2 linked regions of the Tribolium castaneum genome follow. Each later gene encodes a partner of the first gene's protein in a complex. Links are inferred from orthologs where the notes say so. Each region holds a gene or a part of one and is shown on either strand. Other genes may lie near its edges.

Evidence for each region. The genes of interacting proteins can lie anywhere in the genome.
Region 2: dynein regulatory complex subunit 3 (region 1) and dynein regulatory complex protein 8 share a complex: the UniProt entries of both Homo sapiens proteins name them as parts of the nexin-dynein regulatory complex. The link is inferred for Tribolium castaneum from reciprocal best matches to the Homo sapiens genes DRC3 and DRC8.

What each region holds. Positions count from the first base shown.
Region 1 is NC_087394.1:30,245,945-30,250,931, reverse strand, and holds dynein regulatory complex subunit 3, read right to left. Parts: upstream 2,958-4,987; 5' UTR 2,583-2,957; coding exon 2,426-2,582; intron 2,375-2,425; coding exon 2,091-2,374; intron 2,044-2,090; coding exon 1,871-2,043; intron 1,822-1,870; coding exon 1,473-1,821; intron 1,426-1,472; coding exon 1,030-1,425; exon of another isoform or gene 984-1,029; coding exon 844-983; exon of another isoform or gene 798-843; coding exon 665-797; 3' UTR 573-664; downstream 1-572. Other genes in the region: enoyl-CoA delta isomerase 1, mitochondrial, read left to right, coding at 438-554; TOM1-like protein 2, read left to right, coding at 3,373-3,436. UniProt on the Homo sapiens protein: Component of the nexin-dynein regulatory complex (N-DRC) a key regulator of ciliary/flagellar motility which maintains the alignment and integrity of the distal axoneme and regulates microtubule sliding in motile axonemes.
Region 2 is NC_087394.1:7,332,677-7,336,403, reverse strand, and holds dynein regulatory complex protein 8, read right to left. Parts: upstream 1,973-3,727; 5' UTR 1,838-1,972; coding exon 1,807-1,837; intron 1,757-1,806; coding exon 1,519-1,756; intron 1,473-1,518; coding exon 1,262-1,472; intron 1,213-1,261; coding exon 1,078-1,212; 3' UTR 1,056-1,077; downstream 1-1,055. Other genes in the region: delta(3,5)-Delta(2,4)-dienoyl-CoA isomerase, mitochondrial, read left to right, coding at 924-1,022. UniProt on the Homo sapiens protein: Component of the nexin-dynein regulatory complex (N-DRC), a key regulator of ciliary/flagellar motility which maintains the alignment and integrity of the distal axoneme and regulates microtubule sliding in motile axonemes.

The DNA.
Region 1 (4,987 bases):
AATATTAAAAAAAAGTTGTGTTAAAAAGGCTTCGATACTGACCTATGAGCTTAAATTATTTTCAAGTATATAGAAATTATCTCAAAAATAATTTGTTATCCAAAAAACCCCAAGATCTTTTAGTACTGAAATTGTTGGTAATACTTTCGAATTAAGTTTATACTAGAAGTTGAGGGTACTATCTTTCTGCAGAAATTAATCAGTTGGCATTTATCCGTATTTTTTTTAAGTTTCAAAAACTAGGTAGGTAAAATCATTATTAAAAATGCAAGGAAATATAACGAAATGTTTTATTAAGGAAACTCACCAAGGAAACATATTTTTATCTCAACATATTATGTGATGCAATTAGTATTATGATTTTTTTATAGACTTTTTTGGCATTTTTGTATTTAAGGCTCAATTATATATTTTGTAAAAATGAGTTTTTATTTCAGGACCTCACTAACAATCTCCAAAAAGATTACGAATATGTGGCGAATTACGTAGCTCAGGACAGTGTGCAAAAGGGGTTGGAAATGTATCTGCAATCATTGAAGCAGAAACAGAAATAAGGATATTATAAGTTGATATTCTTTTATATAATGAAGTGTAAAATTTATTATCCAAACCAAGAATATGTGTAAGTACTTTTGTAAAAATAAAGTATATTTTACTATCTTACTTATTCCAAGGCTATAACGTCATCCTTGAGATCAGGCGCGTATTCCTTATTCAAATCCTCAAACTCCTGCCTTTGGATTTCAAGAAAGTGGTTAATTTCCAGCACTTTCCCCCTGTTTCGCTTGATCTCATTCCTACAAGTTGTGGATATTTTTCGGGAAAAGTAAAGGCATAACTTACGTGTTTAAATCGTCGATTAAATCATTTAGCCAATCCTTGGCGTTCGAAATGAGAGTGTCTTCTCTCGCATCGATAATCTGCATGTGCATATCGTGACTTGTTGCCAACGCGTTGTGCAGAAGATCCTTATCTGCCATAAGCTGTAATCTCATTGAAATTATTAATAAAGCAAGTGCCGGAAGTTACCGGTTTAAGAACTGCGGGAACTTCGATTTCCTCATTCAAATTGGCATTTGTTTGAAACTTTGTGGCCAAATCGCCGATATTTTCAGCGTAGCTCACTTCCAGCTCTCTGATCTGCGTAAAGAAAGCCTGCGACGATTCAATGAAATTATTAACGAGTTCTGTGATGTTGTGTTCGAAAGTTTGGTTGACTTCTTCCATTTGTTCGTAAAGTTCCAGTTCCAGTTTCATTAGCGCTTTCCAAACTTCGTGCAACATCTCGTCGTACTCCACCACGAAGACGTCGCATTTGTCGATAAACTCGTCGTAATTTATTTCGTTTGAGTTCAGCTGGTTTTGCACGTTTTTGATTTTGAGGAACAGTATTGCCTTCTTCTCCAGGAAGATCTCCATGTGTTTCTACGGACGAAATTTGGGGCTATAAGTAAATTCGAAAGGGGGCGTACAATGCTTTCGTCTTGATTGTCCTTATTTGCGTCTTCGACGCATTTTAAGAACTGGTCCTGTTCGGTTTTGCGCAGGATGTACTGTTGTTGCCCATTTTCGAATATTTGTTTACACAGTTCGATGAAGTTCTCCTCGTACTCGTCGTAGAATTCTTGCGCGTCTTCGCCGATTTTCATCAAGTTCATGCCGTCGGTGTCGTTGGCAAATAAAGAGTCGAACAAATGGCGAGTGTTTAAATACTCCACGAAACTAGAGGCGTGAAGTTCGGCATCGGCCAACTCTTGTTCCTTTATCGCAGTGATTTCCCGTTCCTTCTCCTCTTTCTCCAACAATGCTCGCAGTTTTGCACTAAAAAACTCTCCTACTGATGTTCACTTAAACAATTTTAGCTAGAAACCTGAAAGTTTCGTGTCCAAGTTCCCGTTCCGACTCGTATATTAATTTATATTCGTAGTAAACGAGTTGTGGCAGAAAAACTGCAATAAATAAACGAAAATCTTCATCCTCGGCACAGGGATTCCCCACTAGATTTAACGATTTTAAATTGCCGAATCGTCGCAAATACAGAATCTATAAAATATTTGTGTATTCTAGAACACAATTATTTTTCGTAATACATTGTCCAAGTCGTCAATTTTGTTTCTTCCAATGCTAAAAACTGTTAATTTTGTTAAAGTGTCCATGTTCTCCAAAACCGTGATTTCGTTATCATACAGACTCAGCTTTTCAAGGTTGCGAAGCTCGTCTAAATTTTCGATTTTAGCTATTTTATTGAATGATAAATTTAGTTCAGTTAAGTTCACCAGACTTTCCAAATTTTCGATTTTTTCCAGTAAATTATTGTTGAGATTTAATTTCGTTAAAGATGTCAGCACCCACAAGTGGTCAATTCTTAAGATATCTACGGATAGGGACACAGAAAGTCGGGTTTAAATTTTACAAGAATTGTTACTCAGAAATTCTAAGCGAATCTCGGTGACGTCTTCAAGGGGGATTTTTTCGATCTCCGCCAAGCGACCCGCTTCACCCTTGGGGCCCTGGTCTTTGATACATTTCTCCAGAAGGGCATTGTCTATTACTTTTGGCTCTTTCAATTTACAAGGATTCATTTTTACAAATTTTCATTAGGCACACTAAATCGATACAAATACCTTTTCAAGCATTCTTGAAATTATTGATGTCACAATGACTGTTGTTTAAGTACCTTATTGTTGCTATGGACTTGAGAAATCATGAATCTTTGAGTTTGCCGAGCTTGTGCTCTTGAGTTTTATTATTTTTCATTGTGAAATTATATCAATTACAAAAAACTCTTTACAGGTAGATTATAACGTCTAAGTAGATAAAAATAGCCCAGAGAGGGTTTTTGGAGTAAAAAAATCTTTACAATTAAGAGTTTGCGAAATTGTAGTCGAGGCGAAGCCGAGTGCTGATACCGCAACTTATAAAAAAATACTCAAAATTGTAAAATTACGTTGTATTCTGTATCAAAGAAGAAATGACAACAGCACAGTTATAAATGCAGAAATGCTCGCTTTGGTAGTATATTACGTGAAAGAACGGAAAAATAACATAAAAAAAGAACTTTAAATTGTGAACCGCACCTCGTATAATTTTTGATCACGTGACACATGTCTGACGTCTTTTTATTCAGAAGTTTACACAACTTGGGAATGAAAAGATCAATAAATTAGAAAAACAGTGACTAACACACCAACAAGCGCGTCATGCAGTTTATTTGTTTGAAATAAAATTGTTATTTTCGTCGGAAAATTTTAGATTTAGGAGCGGAAGTATTGCGCAAGCGCCGCAGTGTTTTCTTGTTTTGACAAGTGACAGTGACAGAAGTCAAGTGACAACAAGAAAGTGCAATCGTGAAATTTAATTTAGAAATAAAAAATGTCTTTTTTTGGAACTGCATTAGGAGGAAATCCCTTTTCGACGCCCGTAGGATCGCGAATTGGTGAGTCCCGCTTGGCATTGCCGGATTTCATTTAATTTTTTTCCGTTGTTAAAATCGATTTAATAAAACGTAAATAGAACTAGAAACCGGTGCTGGCACTGTATTTTATTGTTTAGATTACATTGTTTATCACTTTTGTTGGCTGATTCACCTATATCTATTCATCAGACTGTTTAATTACTGTTTCTGGTAATAATTCTAAGGTACTTCGTCATCGCTGTCTGTGTAGGTGTAGGTTTTTGCATTTACATTTTGTTTGTCACAACTACAGCGTGGTTTTTATTTCGTACCAAATTTGTTTATAATTATTTACCAATAGGTGTGACTTATACTACTCTACATAGGCTATCAACTGAGACGTTTTATGCTTTCTTCACGGGGTCCTATGGAAATTTGTCTATTTAAACCTATTATTAAAAAAATACTTTGCGTTATCGGTACAATAATCTCTTATGTATGTCACAACAGTTAGGAATAATACCGCTGTAGTACCCACATTCTTTGATAATTTTATGGGCAAAACGTAGTTGAAATATTTTTCATCGTTGCTTTAAAATAAATATACATATGTATTTATGCTAATTCAGATCAGTTAATTAATTGGAACTATTTTTGCGCGTTCTTAATCACCTTAGAATAAAAATAACAATATAAATTCTTTTCTATCGCCTATTTACATGAATAATTCAAGTGTAAAATAGAGCAACAAGAATTTTCGAAAATGACCAATAACATAGTAATAATAAGTCCATAAACAATCATTCAACAATGTGTTGTGAGACATTGGTAAATATTTAAGTAATGAACCAGACATATTTTTTTCAGATAAAATTTTAAAATGTTTGGCTAACAAAAAACAACGTCCTCTCCAAAACTTTTCTTTACAATTATTATAATTAATTGTGATTACTGCAGCGTGCACCACATTTATTTAAGTGATTAGATTTAATTATTAAAATGGATGTGAACCTAGTCATTTGGTAAATTAAATTGTACTACAAAATTAATAGTAAAGTTAATTTGTACGTAAAATGTTGCAATAGCATGCAACTGTATGGGCGAGGCATGTGTTACATGTATTACAGTTATGAGTCGGTTTGTAGGTGGATTTTCACAATTTTGTATATTTGGAGGAAAAAAACTCCATTGCCATTTTTAGTTTTTAATTTAGACTAATATGCAATGAAGGAAAAATTGTTAATGAGTATTACGACACCACTCGCTTGATCTTACAAGTCCAATATAGGTAGTAAACTGAGAGCACAATACAAGGCTAAGTGACTTCATCGATTTTAAATTTGCGTGTTGAATAGTTTACTTTAAAGATTACTTCAAAGTTAATAATACTGTTCTAAACCGCCTTGCATAAATATTGCTTTCAAGTGATAAGTTTAGTTGAGAAAATGTACAGTACGGTTAAAAAAATACACGTTAACACAAAATTTGTAACAGTAATTTTTTCTTTGCAACACAAATTTATAAAGGCGAAAACGTCGGATTAAATCTTTAATTTTCCAAAAAATGTTTTCTTATATTTTATAAAATGTCTAA
Region 2 (3,727 bases), about 23 Mb from region 1:
CAAACTTTTTATTTACTCCTGTAACCAACTGTGATGTAGAAAGATCTTTTTCGAAATTCAAAGATATTTTAACCGCAAAACGGAATCAGTTTTCGAGAATTTAGAAAGAATCTCAGTTATTCAAGCGTATTTCTCAGAAAAAATGATTAAAATATTTTTATTTAGTTTTTAATTTTAATTTCCACTGAATTAAAACGCAACATTTTCAAAATGTAATAGTGACTTACGCTCCCCTGTATTAAACATCTTCATTGGTGTCCGTGTAAAATTAAAGAAATGATGAAGTTATTTTTTAACGATTATGTCAAATTAGGTGCCTTGTCAGGGTTTGAACTAGCCAATCAGAAGCTGATATTAGCAACTATTTTAAAATTGATTCAGAAAATAATCTCAACAAATATACCGCAGTCTTAATAAATTAGCGACTATTTTATTGCCACAATTTTTCTTGGGTACTCCGTAATTATAATAAAACAATAATATTTATGTTTTAATTAGATTTTTGTAAGCGACCGGTAACATTAATTGTATAAACCCCAAGTAAACTACGCCAATGCACACGCTGTAGCGGACCATTTCATCGATAAATATGAACATCGCGAGAGCGCTACGACGAGTCGGCTGATCGGTTGTGGCCTCATGGCCACCCCCTAAAATTTCCTCACACTGGTAATTACTTACCGGCCTTTAAAAGTTATACCTACCGTATTTTCGAACAGAAGGAGTAACTATTTATCAGTAACAACACAGAAATATTTCTTTATTCTTTATTAATGTTCACTGAAACCACCTAATAAAAGGAAACTTGCCTTAATTAAATAACAAGAAGATAAATTAAGCTTATTTTTCAATGGCGCCCCCATTAGTGCTTGTTTCTTAATCCAGCTGCAAAAAATAATAAATTAATAACACATTACTTACAGGCCTTATGGAATCAGCTAATGCTTCAAAGTGAAGACTTCACAACAGCAACAGTAGCCCAAGCTACCAAACAGAAAGATACAGTTTTCGCAAAATTGTAAATTAAGCAAGAAGATTAAATAATAAACAAGGTGGAAGTTTGGAGTGTTTTATAATTTAAAATTCAGGAACGGACAAATCATGCAGGAACTCGGACAGCCTTCGAGGTGGAGGAGGAGGAGGTGGAGGTGGATTTTCCTCAAGAACACGATCAGCTAACTTATAGATATCTTTCTCTCCTTCAGGTTCGTGCTATTAAAAATAACGTAGTGCAATATTTGCAAAAATAAAAATTAGGTACCATTAGCTGATTGATGTAATATTCATAAGGCACAGTTTGAGTGTGTGGGTCTATGGCTATTTCCAGCATTTCGTCGAGTTCGTCTTGGGTAAAGGGCTCACCATCTTGCGTCATAAGCGTGGAAATGCGTTCCTTTGTTAAAAAACCTTTACCTTCATTATCTAGCACTTGGAACGCTTCTAAAAGTTGCGCGGGACTTGCAGGCTGATACCTGCGAATGAAAATTTCGTTTTTTGGCGATTAAATTTTGGTGATACTTGTGTTCAGTGATGATTTGCGACATGTGGGGTAAAAAATTAGACAAGTGTACACTTCCGGGAGATTCGGGGTTTTCAACAGCCATCAAAATTTCCTGAATTTCTGCCTCAGTGGGGCAACAACCCAAGGCACGTACGATCGTTGCCACTTCTCGAACATCGACTGTTTTGTTACCTGCGTGGTCGAAAACTTCAAACGCGTCGGCAATTCTGCGCTCCAAGTCATTATTAATAGGCACTAAAAAAACGTGTTGGTTTTTTGGAAAAAGACGAGTTTTTGACAAAAACCATGAATTTCTTCTTCTTCGTCTTCCAACATTTTAACAATTTTGATAATCGTTAAGGTTTAAACAGTTGACGGTCTCCTAGCGACAGTTTTGGTTGCTAGGTGATTTGAAGTGTTGGCAGTTGTACCACTTGCATATTTTTTTGGTAAAAATCACCAATAATAATAATTACTCTTAATTAAAAATAACATTAAAAAGTAAAAATGCCATATTTATGTTGCACAAATTACGAATGACAAAAAACAGTGTAAATAAAATAAATACACAAATATTATTCAAATTCTCTTTACCAGGTGATTATTCAAAAATTGCGATTCTTGTCAGGTTGGTGACAAATTTGAAATCTTAATATAACAAGCCACCATGAAGGCCAATAATTCAGTGTTACTAATAGGTTTTTTTGTCACAGTCTTTAATAGTCACTCTGTAGTAGATTCTACTTTGCAGTTTTTCAAGATTTTCCTTTAGTTTCGTTTAAATTTCTTCCAGATTATTCTTTAGCTTTCTGTACTCTTCTTTAGATTATTTTATAAATCCATCTTCTCTAGATTCTTCTTTCAAATCCAAAATTGTTTTATTAACACTTTTACATTTTTTTGACATTATCCAAATTTAAGATTCTTGTCTGCGTCGTTTAAAATTCTTCCAAATTATTTTTTAGTCTGTATTATTATTTTATTTATGTACTTTTTTTTACATTGTTCATAATATTCTTCTAAATTTTTTTGTAGAGGAGACTCTAGGTATCTGTAGATACGTCTTTAGAATTATTTTCTAGACTCTAATCAAAATTATTTTATACACTTTTTTTCAAATATTTTTATCCAAATTTTCTTCTAGATTCTACTCTGTATCTTTCCAAAATTCTTCTACAGTTTCGTATAGAATTTTTCTCTTGAAATAATCTTATTAGGTTATAATCTTCTTTAGGTTACATCTTTAGATTCGGTTATAAATTCTTCTGTAGTTTCCTTTACAATTTTTCCAAATAATTTTTATTAATTCTGTAGTCTTCTCTGGATTTTTTTTTCATATACTTTTCTAATTCTTTTCTTTTCTTTTTTTCCTAAATAAGCCTAATTCTAGATCTGAAATATAGATTCTTCTTTCGATTATTGTATAAATTCACGAATTTTTCACGTTTTTTAAGACAATTATTAGGTCTGCTTTGTTTGAAAATTCCTTTGTACTTTCGTTTCGAATTTTTCTAAATTATTTTTTGGCATTATTTGTTTGTCTACTCTTTTTTAGATTGTTTTTAAAATAAGTCTCAAATATTTTAAAAAATCGTTTCTAAACCTAAAATTGGAACTTTTTAAATTATTTTATAAATCCATCTCCATATACTTCTTTAGAAATTATTTTCTATACTACTCAAAATTATTTTATAAACTCTTTTAATTTTTTTTATCCAAAACCTCTCCTAGATTGCACTCTGCATCTTTTCAAAATTGTCCTACAGTTATGTATAGAATTTTTCTCTCGCAATATATTTTTATTCTTTAGCATTGTTTTTGTACTCTTCTCTAGATTTTTCTTGAGATCCTACTCGAGTTCTTTTTTGAAACCGTTTGTAGATCTGAAATCTGGATTCCTCTTTACATTATTTTAGTAAATCCATCTTTGGATGCGCTATTAAATTCCTCTGTAGTTCCCTTTATAATTTTTAAATTATTCTTTAGCATTGTTTCTGTTCTTTTCTCTGATTCTTTTCTAAATAACCCGTTTGCAGATCTGATGGTTTCTTCTTTAGATTATTCTATAAATCCATCTTTAGATTCGTTCTTCTCTAGATTCTTTACCATTCAAAATTCTTTTTTATGTAAACCTGTTTTTTATACGTTCTCCAATTACTCTTTTAGATTCTATTCTGCTTTGCCTTAAAATTCCTTTGTAGTTTTGTTGAAAATTATTCTAAATTA